Xenopus tropicalis: one gene and its partners. The protein of the gene in region 1 interacts with the protein of each later gene in a pairwise test. Links are inferred from orthologs where the notes say so. Each region holds a gene or a part of one and is shown on either strand. Other genes may lie near its edges. The genes, in order: tarbp2, znf346 and tceanc.

Region 1 (4,039 bases):
TTTGCCTATGAACTTTGTTCTTTGCAATCCAAAAAAGAATGACTTTGGCCAATGAACCCTTTACATAAAAGTTATTATTTATTATAGATATTGCCTTGTCACTGGCCTGATGTTGCGTCGAGTGCGTGTTTTCAGTCGCCTCAGTGCAGAACGTGTCCTGGGAGCGCAGAAGGCCCGTCACAGATATCTGCATAGGCGGAGGTGACTTTTTTGTTTGGGGAGGCTAAAGATGGCCCATACACAGACTGACCTACAGCTAATGTGACACTTAGTGGATTCACTGCTGGCATAAAAAGTTAACCTCCCAACTACCTCTTGCTGTTCCTACTGACTCCCAGGGATACTGTACAAAAGTGCGGGGGGGGGGGGAGTTGCTTTTTTTTACCCTAAAATGTTTAGAATGTAAAAGTATTCATACAGGCACTTCTGTTAGGGGATCTGCAAACATTTGTGTTTGTGATCAGTTAGCTTAAAGGGGTAGTTCGCATTCAATTCACTTTTATTTTTAATGGTTTTTCAGTTATTTAGCTTTTTGTTAAGCAGCTCTCCATTTGGTATTTCAGCAGCTATCTGGTTGCTAGGGTCTTATTTACCCTAACAACCAGGTAGTTGTTTAAACAAGAGATGGGAATATGAATAGTTAAGGGGCCTACTTGGAAAAATAAGTAATACAAAATTATAATAATAATAAAATTGTAGCCTCACAGAGCAATATTTTTTGGCCCCCATTTGAAATCTGTATAGAGGCAGAAGAGAGGCAAATTATTCAAAAAAATTAATTAGGAAGACCAATTGCAAAGTTGCTAGGAATAGGCCATTTTATAACATACTAAAGGTTAACTTAAAAGTGAACCACCCCTTTAGATGTGTTTATGTTAGTTTTATAGCAAGAAAGGCAGTGGGTACTGACTCCGCATTATATACAGTGAGACGCAGTCCTTATTTACAAAACCAGCACATTATATACAGTGAGAAGCAGTGGGTACTGATGGCAGATATAGTGCCAGGGCCTGAATAACACTGGCACTGATACACAACATTGGCTCCACTGTAACTAACTAGAAATGAACAAAACAATGACAAAAAAAAAATAGTAAGTGCAAAAAACAACAACAAATATATAAACACACAATGAGCTTTTTCAGAGGGAAAGAGTTAATTTACCCTCCATCTGTTAGGGTAGGGGATAGATTATAAATTATTATAGATGTCAGGTCAGGAAAAAAAAATTTAATGTCAGCTAGTGATTCTTTAGAACTGTATAGTACCTGGGTATAGTGCCTGGGTATAGTGCCTGGGTATAGTGCCTGGGTATAGTGCCTGGGTATAGTACCTGTGGGATGAAAACTGCAGCAAAAGTTGAGAGTTGGTTCTTAGGTAAAGTTACAGCTGCAGATTCTTCTTTTCAGTCTTCATTTCTGTTTCCAGTTTGCAAAATCTCCCGATCCCTGTGTGCATCTGTGCTCTGATTGGTCAATTTTACTGTCTGTCAAGAAAGCTGTGCTCTGATTGGAGAATCCACAAGAAGAAAGATCCAGTCGGAGCACAGCAAAACGGGCTTGCAAGGAACAAATTTCCAGCACAGTGCAGAAACGAAGTAAGGATTTTTTTTTTTTTGTTTTTTTAATGTGCCAAGCAGGTTTGGGGAGGCTTAGCCTCCCCTAGCCTTATGGAAAATCCACCTATGCGGAATCCCATGAGCCTAAGGTTGTCACTTAGTTTGTATTACTGGCCTGGCTGGTAAATATGCTGCTTGATTCCAATGTTATTAATAGGGGGAAAAAATCTAGGAAGGCCGGTATAAGACACGCCTCCAACTGTGCATCTTAAAATGATATTTTTGAGCCCGACACCCATCACCCTATGTACCTTTTTTTTTTTTCCAATTTAAAATGCATCTCCACAAAAGTCATTGCTTTCTAAAGTGAATGTAATTCTAAGCAACTTTACAGCATAAATTAATTATACAAAAGTTATCTGTAACTGTTATTGCAACTAAAAGCATTGTTTAACCCTTTCTGTTCTTTTGTTCTGACTCTTGAAACAGTGTAGCAACTGTCTCATCTCACTAGTCAATCCCATTGTTTCAGGAGTGCAGGGAATATATACGGATGGACATATACAGCTTTCAGTAGTGATTACATTTGCAAATAACTTATTTGTAATGAAAGTATATTGGAGTGCTGCTTAGGATTTTATTTTCCTTAATTTTGCAGTAGTTTATAGGTTAGAAGCCCATGCTTTTGTCCTTTGCCAGCAGAGGCTATAAGTGCTTTGGAGAGGCCATACTGACTGATGAGCGTGCTGGTTTGAGTTTTTTAGTGATGACTGAATGGCACCTAATTTCCGTGTTCTTTCTCTATGCAGTATTGAGCAGATGCTGGCATCGAGTCCTGGGAAGACCCCAATCAGCTTACTTCAGGAGTATGGGACTCGGGTAGGGAAGACTCCTGTGTATGACCTGCTTAAAGCCGAGGGACAAGCCCATCAACCCAACTTCACTTTTCGCGTATCTGTTGGAGACATCAACTGCACCGGTCAGTGCTCTGCGCCACCCAGTACTAGAGGTGAAATGCCCGCGTCACTGACATATTTCTTCTGTTCTGTAGTCCTCATTCTGTTTTCAAAGCTCCTACCCATCCAGATTTTGGTCCCATATGATTGCAGTGGCTATCTGATAAGCATTGTGATCGTTTTCATCTCAGCCGCATCTGTCTTGCTATTGCTATTGTACCAAATGTGAGACCTGCTCGCACTTGCCTTTCCTATTTCCTTTTAGTATCAGAAATATTTAAATGGTGCATGAGCTGAGCTGTGTTTTCCGATGGTCTTAGGCGACCCCTGTGAAAAGGTTCGACCCTCAAAGGGGTCCTGACCCACAGGTTGAGAACCGCTGCTTTAGTAGATTAGTTTAGCCTTACCAGAGGGAAGTATAGAAATACTGAGGGGCTCTATTCCAGAGGTTCAGCGCTCGCCATTTTCTTATTTTATTTTATTTTATTTAAGAATGCCCTCTTCTACTCCTTACACTTCTCTACTGGCTCCAGGCCAATGCAGATAAATAAGGGTTATTCAGCAGAGTAGAACTGGTTGTGCTGCTTTAATGTTATTCCATCTGGGGCTAGGGGAATTACAATCATTTCAGGGGGTCCTTATAACCCAGAAATTGTCAGAAATTAAATGCGTTAAGGTTCTCTGACGTTCCTTTGACCCCCTTAGCCCGGTCCCATGTGGGCCATGGGAGACCTGAATAGTATGACCTCCTCAGATCTGTTTTTTCTGTCTCCCTCACAGGTCAAGGACCTAGCAAAAAGGCTGCAAAGCACAAGGCAGCCGAGGTGGCGCTCTCACTGCTGAAAGGAGGGGACATGTTTGGAATGATGTGCGAGGAAAACAGGTGAGAACTTATTGCTAAATGTTTATATGCGGCAGAGTCACTTTAATTCTATCATGTAGATCTTTGAAAGTTGCCTGTATAAAGAAGCACAGCATAATTGCTTGCCTTCAGGAAAGCGGATTTGATTACTTGTGTGAATTTTGTGCGATAGTTGGAAAATACTACTCTGGCGTTTGGGATAAGTAGGGGCAGCAGGCAAGTTGGATTTCAATAGCAGATATGCTTAAATTACTCTCAGCGTGCCTCAGCAGCCCTTAAAGGGATGGTCCACCTTTAGTTTAACTAACTAGTTGGATGTATATATTGATACTAAGACACTTTGCAATCGGGTTTCATTTTTTGTGGTATAGTAATTTAGCTTTTTGTTTGGCAGCTTTCCAGTTTGGTATTTCAGCAGCTATCTGGTTGCTATGGTCTCATTTACCCTAGCAACCTGTGATGTAAATGAGAGACTGGAATATGAATACGAAAAGGGCTGCATAGTAAGATAGGAAATAAAATTGCAAAGTTACAAGTGTGTGAATTGTAAATATGTTAGTTTTTATGGAAGTGGAAGAGATGTGGGTCTAGGTTCTGATATAAGTATTATAGTATGATATAAGTATGAGGGAAATTACTGACCAATAAATGATGAATTGTTTC
Region 2 (4,557 bases), on another chromosome or scaffold:
CGAGTGTGGAAAAAACTATTGCACCAGATGGAAACCCACAAAGACACAGGAAGAACAATCTGTCATATTTGATATAGTTTTATTTTTCCTCAGTGGGTACGAGATTCAGCTGTTAATGATGTTTCTGGCCCTTCTTCCTATTAAAGGAACAGTGACACCAAAAAATGAAAGTGTTTTAAAGTAATTAAAATATAATGTACAGTTGCCCTGCGCTGGTAAAACTGGTAAGTTTGCAACAGAAACGCTACTATAGTTTATATAAATGAGCTGCTATGTCGACACGGGGGCAGCCATTGAAGCTGGGAAAAAGGAGAACAGGCACATAGCAGATAACAGATAAGCTTTGTAGAATATAATGGGGTTTTATCTGTTATCTGCTAAGTAACCTGTGCCTTTTCTCCTGTAAATGGCTGCCCCCATGGCTACACAGAAGCTTTATTATATAAACTATAGTAGTCTTTCTAAGGAAAACACACCAGTTGTACCAGTACAGGGCAGCATTACATTATATAGTAATTACTTTTATACACTTTCATTTTTTGGTGTTACAGTCCCTTTAAGGTCACAGATCCTAAGTTGGAATCCTGAGCGAAGCAATATTTAAAAACCAGGACCCGACCCAGACCCGCAACCCGACTCGACCCACATGTGTACATGTTCATGCCTACGTTTTCTTTTTTGTTTTGTTTTTTTACAGGTAACCCCTTGATACACAACCGACTGCAGGACCTACACTGTGTAGCCTCCTTCCCCTCCCCCCCCCATCATTTACCTTTTCTTTGGTAAAAATAGGCATGAGGTGCAGCACAATTGTAAACTGAGCCAAAAATCTGGTTAATAAACAGTAAGAGGGCTTCTGGCAAGGTACACTCTGACATGTCAACACACATAAATGATTCAGTGGCCGCCCTAATTTGACGCCCTCACCCGGTCACCCGCAGTAACGCAACGTATTAATAATGAATATTGCCCCCACAGTTGAGAAGACCTAAAAGCCACCCGAAAACCACATTAGATACAGTCAGCATTGGGCAGAAGTGGGAGCCCGCCAAGGTGGCGTCTCTGTTCGCCTCATTACAGAAGCGCTTGTGTCACTCGGTGCCCATTCTTCCACTTAATATCGAGGGCAGTTTTATATATTATGACAAAGCGTTGTGACTTCTGTACCAAAACCATTCTTCCCGGCACAGATAAATACGACTTTGGGTTACCTATTTTAACTTCTCCCGCAGCCTGAAATACACCAATCGCGAATAAGTTTCATCGGCCTGGATTGTTCCTTCCGGGTAAGCAAAATAAAGTTTCGTTAGTTTTGAATAAGGAACCGAGCGCCTTGCAATCTCGCGAGAGTTCGCCGTAGAACCCATGCAGTCCCGCGTTTCGCGAGAGTTGCACGTACCCGCTCTGGCCGCAGTTGCCAGGCGCTGTGTCGCGGTGTGTGTGCTCTTGTGAGTTTCTCACGGTGCCGGCTTCTTCTTGGGAAGAATATGGCAGACGAGTTCGGTGACGGTGATACTGTGGAGTTGCCAGTGGGAAAGGAAGCAGGTCAGCACAAATATAAAGTTACTGCTGTGCTCAGGGGATTGAGTGAGGAGCAGGAAACCTGAATAGAACGCGTGTAGTGGGTGTGCGTCTGGGGGCAGTGGGCCTGGCGACTGCTTAGTTATGGGACGTACAAGCAAAGGTTGCCCTTGGGTTTTTGCTCTGATACAAAGATTTCCTTTATAACATCTGATGGTTTGAATCTCGCCCTAAATTGACCAAAACACGCAACTTTGTGCATGAGTTGTATCGCTTGAACGCAGCCAAGGTGATCGCTTCTCTGATTTTCAAAGGGTTGCTCTTTCCATTATCAAAAGTGTTGTCTGAGAACACAACGCTCTCTAATATACTTCTGGGGAGAAATATGCTTTACGTCTTGCTGGAAAAAGTTGCCATGTTTCCTGCTCGCAGGGTCAATCTGTTTACTCATTCCCCAGGTTATTTCTGATTATTATTATTTTTTCCCCATCCAAAATGTTGGGGCAACTTTAATCCATATTTCTGCCACACCTCTTCAGTATGGAATTTCAGCAGGTATTTGGGTAAATTTTACCAGTCAGTCAGGCAGTGATTTGAATGAGACACTAAAAGATTAATTAAGTAGGGGCCTAAAGAGAAAGACAAGTAATAAACAATAACAAAATTGTAGCTTCACTGAGCACCAGTTTTTTGGCAGCGATGGTCGGTGACCCCCCTCCATCTGACGGCAGGAAAAAGGCAAAAGACAGCTGATAATTTAAGGAAAACTATACCCCCCACCCAATGCAGGTTTCTATAAAAATACATTGTATAAAACAATGCATATGTAAAACCCTGTTTCATTTAAATAAACCATTTTTGTAAAAATGTGTGTTTTTAGTTGTTTGTGCCATTGGATAATACTAAAAAGAAAATTGCCATTTTAATTACTAAGGGATAATATGATTCACAGTGCGCACAAACACATTACGCCACGTCAGCCAATTAATGGGCAAAGTTCTGTCTTTTGCACACATTCTGCAGGATTTTATATACTATTTGTCCCCTGCTTTTATCTTTTTTACATTACTATTTTTTTTGTTAGTTGAAAAATTCTTTGCAAACACTATGGGCATAGCATGGTAAATGTGACAATGAAAGTGCTGGATGATGAATCATGTTGTAAAAACGCTCATGGTGCATTGCTTTATAGTGGCTGTGTGTGTGTAATGTTTTTCTGGTGAAATAACTGGGGTGCACACTCCGGGGCATTGGGAGAGGTAAGGGTTCCAAAACCCTGGGCTTAGGGCTCTGGCACACTGGTACCAAAGTACCATCCCACCAGTGAACCTACGCAGGCGATTTGCCGAAATCGCCTGCGCTGCATGTGCCATCCCACCGGTGACTTACATTTTCGCTGGTGGGATGGTAGTTCGGGGAGATTAGTCACCCGTGACAAGGGAGATTTGACGCGGCAACTAATCTCCCTGTGTGCCAGAGCCCTTACTGTAGAAGGTTAAACATGCTGTGCTTTGATGTACAGGTATCGGACCCCTTATCCGGAAACCCATTGGGAACAGAGCCAAAACAATCCTATTGGGTGTAAATACTGTTTAAATAATTTTGTTTTAGTAGACTTGAGATAGGAGATCCAAATTACAGAAAGACCTCTTATCCAGAAAACGCCAGGTCTCGAGCACTTTGGACAATGGGTCCCATACCTGTACCTGTAAAATTGAACTGGAGGGTGGAGGTGCTGCTGTCCAGCTTTTCGGCCAGAAATGCAAGACTTGAGCCCAGAAAGCCTGAAGACCTCTGGACATGCTGGCTGTTGGTACTGATTGGTTGCCTGATGATCACCCAGGGAAGACACAGACATTATTTTCACGCTGACAGACTGATTGGGTATTACATTTAAACTGTCACACTAAAGAGCTAGTGGGGTTGTGTTTGGTGAATAATTCCAGCTTAACATTTTTGTAGTACAGGTATCGGACCCCTTATCCGGAAACCCATTATCCAGATAGTTCCAAATTACGGAAAGGCTATCTCCCGTAGACTCCATTTTATGCAAATAATTCGAATTTTTAAAAATGATTTCCTTTTTTCTGTAATAATAAAACAGTACCTTGTACTTGATCCCAACTAAGGTATAATTAATCCTTTTTGGAGGCAAACCCATCCTATTGGGTTTAAATACTGTTTAAATATTTTTTTTTAGTAGACTTAAGGTAGGAGATCCGAATTACGGAAAGACCCCTTATTCGGAAAACCCTAGGTCCCAAGCATTCTGGGTAATGGGTGCCATACCTGTTTATACTGTAGAGTGGCTTGTAGGGAATTTAGGGAATCCAGGGTTTTTTGTTTTGTTTTTTGTTTTTTTTTTTTTTTGAAGGATTTGGTTTTGGCTAAATCTGCAGTCCCCGGCCAAACCAAATCCAAATTAGCATATGCTAATTAGCATCCGGAAAGGGTTAAATGGTTGTGGGGGATTTTTACCCCATATGCTAATTAGGATTCGGTTCAGGGGTTCGGCCAAACCCAAAAAAAGTGGAGATAGTTAATGGGAACATGATAGATTCAATAGCAATTTTGTGTCATCTCTTCATTACCTTAATTTAGAATAACCTGGAGAGTTTTCTTAAATAGATGTGACTTAGTATAAAGCAGTGATCCCCAACCAGTGGCTCGTGAGCAACATCACCAACCTCTTGGATGTTGATCTCAGTGCCCCCAAACCAGGTGTTTTTGTTTTAATTCTCGGCTTGCTGGCAAGTTCTGGTTGACTAAAAACAAGATGTACTACCAAATAAAGCCCCCTGTAAGCTGATAGTGTGCATAGAGGCTGCCTAATAGCCAGTCTTATGTGGCACCTCCATGAACTTTTATATGATGCTTGTGTTGCTCCCCAAGTCTTTTTACATTTGACTGTGGCTTATGAGTAAGAAAGGTTGGGGATCCCTGATATAAAGGAACCCCTCTTTCCAAAGTTTTGCCTGTATCTCAGGTTTGCTGATGAATAGGTGATTTTTATATATATATGTATTTAACTGTGGC
Region 3 (4,806 bases), about 41 Mb from region 1:
TGACTCCAAGCCAGGAATTCAAAAATTAGCAACAAGTTGCTCACAAGCCACTGGTTGGGGATCACGGCCCTAGGACCAAACTATTGCATTACAATGTAGAGGATACGAAAAGTCGGAGCAAGGTCTGCATCAATAAGCCCCCACTCAGCAACTCCTGCAACAGAGGTATGTGACTAAGGTCCTATCGCTACAGTGCCCTCCATAATGTTTGGTACAAAGACACATTTTTCTTTGAATTGCCCCTCAGTGTAAAATTTTAAATCAATTCAGATGTGATCAATGTGCACATTCCAGACTTTACTTTAAAGTTATCTGCATACATTTAAGTTTGCTCGAGGTAGTATACAAGCGTTAGGGCTCTGGCACACGGGGAGATTAGTCGCCCGCGACAAATCTCCCTGTTCGCGGGCGACTAATCTCTCGAATTGCCATCCCACCGGTGACAATGTAAGTCGCCGGTGGGATGGCACACACGGCGGCGCGATTTCGGCAAATCGCTGAAAATACCTCGTGAGGCAACTTCGCCGATCTGCCGAAATCGCCTGCGAAGCGTGCCGTCCCACCGGCGACTTACATTCTCGCTGGTGGGATGGCAATTCGGGGAGATTAGTCGCCCGCGAACAGGGAGATTTGTCGCGGGCGACTAATCTCCCCGTGTGCCAGAGCCCTTAAAAACGCTCAATCATTATTGGCACATTTGTGTAGTACAGACCTCGAGCTACATGCCAATAAAGACTGAACGTTCCTCTTGCCATCACTCCGATACAGGTAAATCTTTGTCTAGTCTGTCAATAACACATTTTCCCAGAATTCTGTAGGCAAACTGTAATCTGGCCATTTTTGTGGCTAACTAGTTTGCCACACTGGTTTGCATCTTGCAGTGTAGCCTCTGTATTTCTGTTCATGATGTCTTCTGCAGATAGTAGTCTCTGACAAAGATACAGCTGCCTCCTGAAGAGTGTTTCTGATCTGTTGGACAGGTGTTTTAGGTGATTTTTCTTTACCATAGTGAGAATTTTTCTGTCATTAGCAGTGGAGGTCTTTCTCAGCCTACCAGTCCCTTTGCAATTACAGAGCACACCAGTACATTCCTTCTTCTGAATGATATTGCAGACAGTTGATTTTTGTAATCCTATGGTTTGACCAATGTCTCTAAGGGCTGTGACTCACGGGGAGATTAGTTGCGCCACAACAAATCTCCCTTGCCTTGAGCGGAAACTTTGGCGACTACGGCAAATCGCGCCACCGCATATGCCATCCTACCGGAGATTTACATTCTAACCAGTGGGATGGCATTGCGGGGAGATTAGTCGCCCGTGACAAGGGAGATTTGTTGTGGCGCGACTAATCTCCCCGTGTGTCACAGCCCTAAAGGCTACTAAACTCCAGAAAATATCCTGCCATAGACAATACTGAGAATTGCCTTTGCTAAAACACATGTAGAGACAATTATCAGTAAATGATCAGCATTGTCTATTTTAGTAGCCACAACAAGTAGCTGCTACTAGTAGCTCTGTGTGTCTTCACCCTAATGGTTTTATTCTTGTTTTTCAGCCTTATAATAGCTTCCTTGACTTTCATTAACATAAGCAAGCAAGGTATCTTATCCCTGCACTAATGAAGCAATAAAACACACCTGAGTTATCTCAAACACCTGTAAATCCAATCGTCCCAAACATTATGGTGCCCTGAAATGAGGGGGACTATGTATAAAAAGTGTTGTAACTTCTACATAGTAAAAACTAAAATACATGCAAATAACTTTCATTTTAAGTCTGGAATGTGCACTTTAATCATGTCTTAATTGCTTGATTTAAAATTATACACTGAGCAGCACAGGGGTAAATTTAAAAAATTTGGGTCTTTGTCCCAATCATTATGGAGGGCACTGTCCTTTTAATTCTGGCCCTGCATGTATAGGGTCCTTTGAAAGCCTCTCTAAGGGCTCTGGCACACGGGGAGATTAGTCGCCTGCGACAAATCTCCCTGTTCGCGGGCGACTAATCTCCCCGAAATGCCATCCCACCGGTGAAAATGTACATACGCAGCGGCGCGATTTCAGTGAAATTGCGAAAGTTGCCTTGAGAGGAAACTTCCGCAATTTCACTGAAATTGCGCGCCGCCGCGTATGCCATCCCACCGGCAATTTACATTTTCGCTGGTGGGATGGCATCACGGGGAGATTAGTCGCCCGCAAACAGGGAGATTTGGGCAAAGATAAGTCAGATAGCGATTGTGTATAAACACAGAATACAGAGTAATAACTGCGCTAGGAGTAAACAAATAAAAAGCAAGTAAAAGTCAGCTGCACCACAAATCGTGGATCCAATAGTCCACTTGTAAATAATAAAAGTTCCCCACAGGTGCGCTTGTTCCAGACACCTTCACAGCTCCTCCACGTCACAGCAATACTTTACAAAGTAGCCTTTTCATATATGCACCTCACAGTAAGTGGAGACAAACATGTATCACTTTTCTCCCTGTTCTAAAACAAATGGCCAGGGATCATGAAGCATGTACTGGATCGTGAACAATTTCCCTGCTACTGGATCTACTCACTGTGTCTCAGATTGCAAAGTGCATATCACGCCGTTTACTACTCCATATTCTCCCTCCGTGCTGATAACAAAGACTTCCTCCTGTCCTGAATTCCACAAGCGACCACGTGACTCCCTCTGGTCAATCACGTTGTCCCTTCTCTCCTGTGTGAGAGGAATGCAACAAAGCAAGGGGGGGTGGGAGGGGGAAGCGTGCAGAGGTAGGATTCAATCAGGCTGTGTAGTTATGCCCATAGGCGGATTTTCAATAAGGCTTGGGGAGGAACCTGCTTTGGCACCTTAAAACCTGGCTCTGTTTCTGCACTTCCCTGCAAATCTTCTCTGGGTTCTGCAGAAATCAGCTGTGCTCTGATTGGATCTTTGTTCTTGTGGATTCACCAATCAAAGCACAGCTTTCTGGACAGGCAGTAAAATTTACCAATCAAGGCTTAGATGCAGACAGGGATCGGGAAATTTTGCTGGAGGCAGTGCAGAATTGAAGACTAAAAAAAAAAGAATGTGCGGGCTGTAAACTTTACCCAAGAACCAACTTTGAACTTTTGCTGCAGTTTTCATCCCACAGATACTATACACAAGTACTATACATGTTCTAAAGACTGACCCACTAGCTGAAATTAAATTGGTTTTTGTCACCTGACATATATAATATCCCTATCCCCTACCCTAACAGATGGAGGGTAAGTTAACTTTTCCCCCCGACAAAGCTCATTGTGCTTTAATATATTTGTTATGGTTTTTTGCACTATTTTTCTTTTACCTTTGTCATTGTTTTTTTCATTTCTAGTTAGTTACAGTGGAGCCCATGCTGTGTATCAGTGCCAGTGTTATAGTGCCAGGGCCTGAATATCTGCCATCTGTACCCACTGCTCCTCATGGCATATAATGTGCTGGTTTTGTATATAAAGACTGCGTCTCACTGTATATAACGTGCTTGGGATGTCAGTACCTGCTGCCTCTCTCTATAAAGCTAACTTAAACACATCTAAAGGGGTGGTTCACTTTTAAGTTAACTTGTAGTATGTTATAGAATGGCCTATTCCTAGCAGCTTTGCAATTGGTCTTCCTAGTTAATCTTTTATAGTTTTTAAATAATTTGTCTTTCACTTCTGCCTCTTTCCAGCTTTCAAATGAGGGTCACTAACCAAAAAGTATTGCTCTGTGAAGCTACAGTTTTATTTTTCCATACAGGCCCCTAAACTATTCATATTCCCATCTCTTATTTAAACCACTACCTGGTAAATAAGACCCTAGCAACCAGATAGCTGCTGAAATACGAAATGGAGAGCTGCTGAACAATAAGCTAAATAACCGGAAAACCATTAAAAATAAAAGAGGACCAATTGCAAATTGTCTCAGAATATCAATGTCTACCTTATATTAAAAGTTAATTTAAAGGTGAACTACCCCTTGAAGCTAACTGATCACAAACATAAATGTATAGAGAACCCCTAACAGAAGTGCACGTATGAATGCTTTTACATCCTAAGCATTTTAGGGTTAAAAAAAGCACCCCCACCTGCACTTTTGCACAGTAACCCTGGAAGTCAGTGGCAAGAGGTAGTTGGGAGGTTAATTTTTTACACCAGCAGTGAATCCACTAAGTCTCACATTAGCTGTAGGTCAGACTCTGTCTTCAGCCTCCCCAAACAAAAAAGTCACCCTCCGCCTATGGTTATGCCAAAGAACATTTATTTGATCATAATAAAAGCCCAACGCGTCTCGTATGAAAATACTTTCTCAGGGGCATTATCAGAGGGAAATGCCGTCCCCATTATATTATGTCATCAATTAATTATGCAAATGATCTAAAAGTCAATCAAGTTTTATACACACAATAAATATCACTTCTAAAATGAGTTAAAAGATAAAAGAAAAATGAAAGTTCTTTCATTAAGACACAGAATGCTTCAGACAATATTACTAAAATTGTGATGTCATGTCAATCCCTTAGGACGCACTGCAGATCTATGTCAATATTTAACCCTTTAGGTGTAAGTGTTTGCAGCCTATGAATCCAAAAGGTTTCTTCCCTGGATATGGCCTTGGTTATATCTCCCCACCTCCACTGAGTCCTTTTTTGGCAGATCCCCATAAAGGATAGGAGTGAGGAGTCACTGTTATGTGCAATTTTAAAATGAGTAGAAACACTATGAGTGGACAAACTGACCTTTATATTTCTAATATGTTCTCATATTTGAATTTTTAAACTTCTGCTAGTCCTTCCTACGTACTGTAGCCCAAAGGGCAT

What was found.
Region 2: the proteins of tarbp2 (region 1) and znf346 interact in binary tests that used the Homo sapiens proteins (3 or more experiments, as listed by UniProt). The two-hybrid records come from large-scale screens. The link is inferred for Xenopus tropicalis from reciprocal best matches to the Homo sapiens genes TARBP2 and ZNF346.
Region 3: the proteins of tarbp2 (region 1) and tceanc interact in binary tests that used the Homo sapiens proteins (3 or more experiments, as listed by UniProt). The two-hybrid records come from large-scale screens. The link is inferred for Xenopus tropicalis from reciprocal best matches to the Homo sapiens genes TARBP2 and TCEANC.

The regions. Positions count from the first base shown.
Region 1 is NC_030678.2:146,789,029-146,793,067, reverse strand, and holds part of tarbp2 (RISC-loading complex subunit tarbp2), read left to right. Parts: intron 1-1,564; exon of another isoform or gene 1,565-1,597; intron 1,598-2,367; coding exon of another isoform or gene 2,368-2,377; coding exon 2,378-2,537; coding exon of another isoform or gene 2,538-2,567; intron 2,568-3,294; coding exon 3,295-3,397; intron 3,398-4,039. UniProt on the Homo sapiens protein: Required for formation of the RNA induced silencing complex (RISC). Component of the RISC loading complex (RLC), also known as the micro-RNA (miRNA) loading complex (miRLC), which is composed of DICER1, AGO2 and TARBP2.
Region 2 is NC_030679.2:46,420,341-46,424,897, reverse strand, and holds the start of znf346 (zinc finger protein 346), read left to right. Parts: upstream 1-1,341; 5' UTR 1,342-1,487; coding exon 1,488-1,545; intron 1,546-4,557.
Region 3 is NC_030678.2:105,791,780-105,796,585, forward strand, and holds the start of tceanc (transcription elongation factor A N-terminal and central domain-containing protein), read right to left. Parts: upstream 2,868-4,806; 5' UTR 2,560-2,867; intron 1-2,559.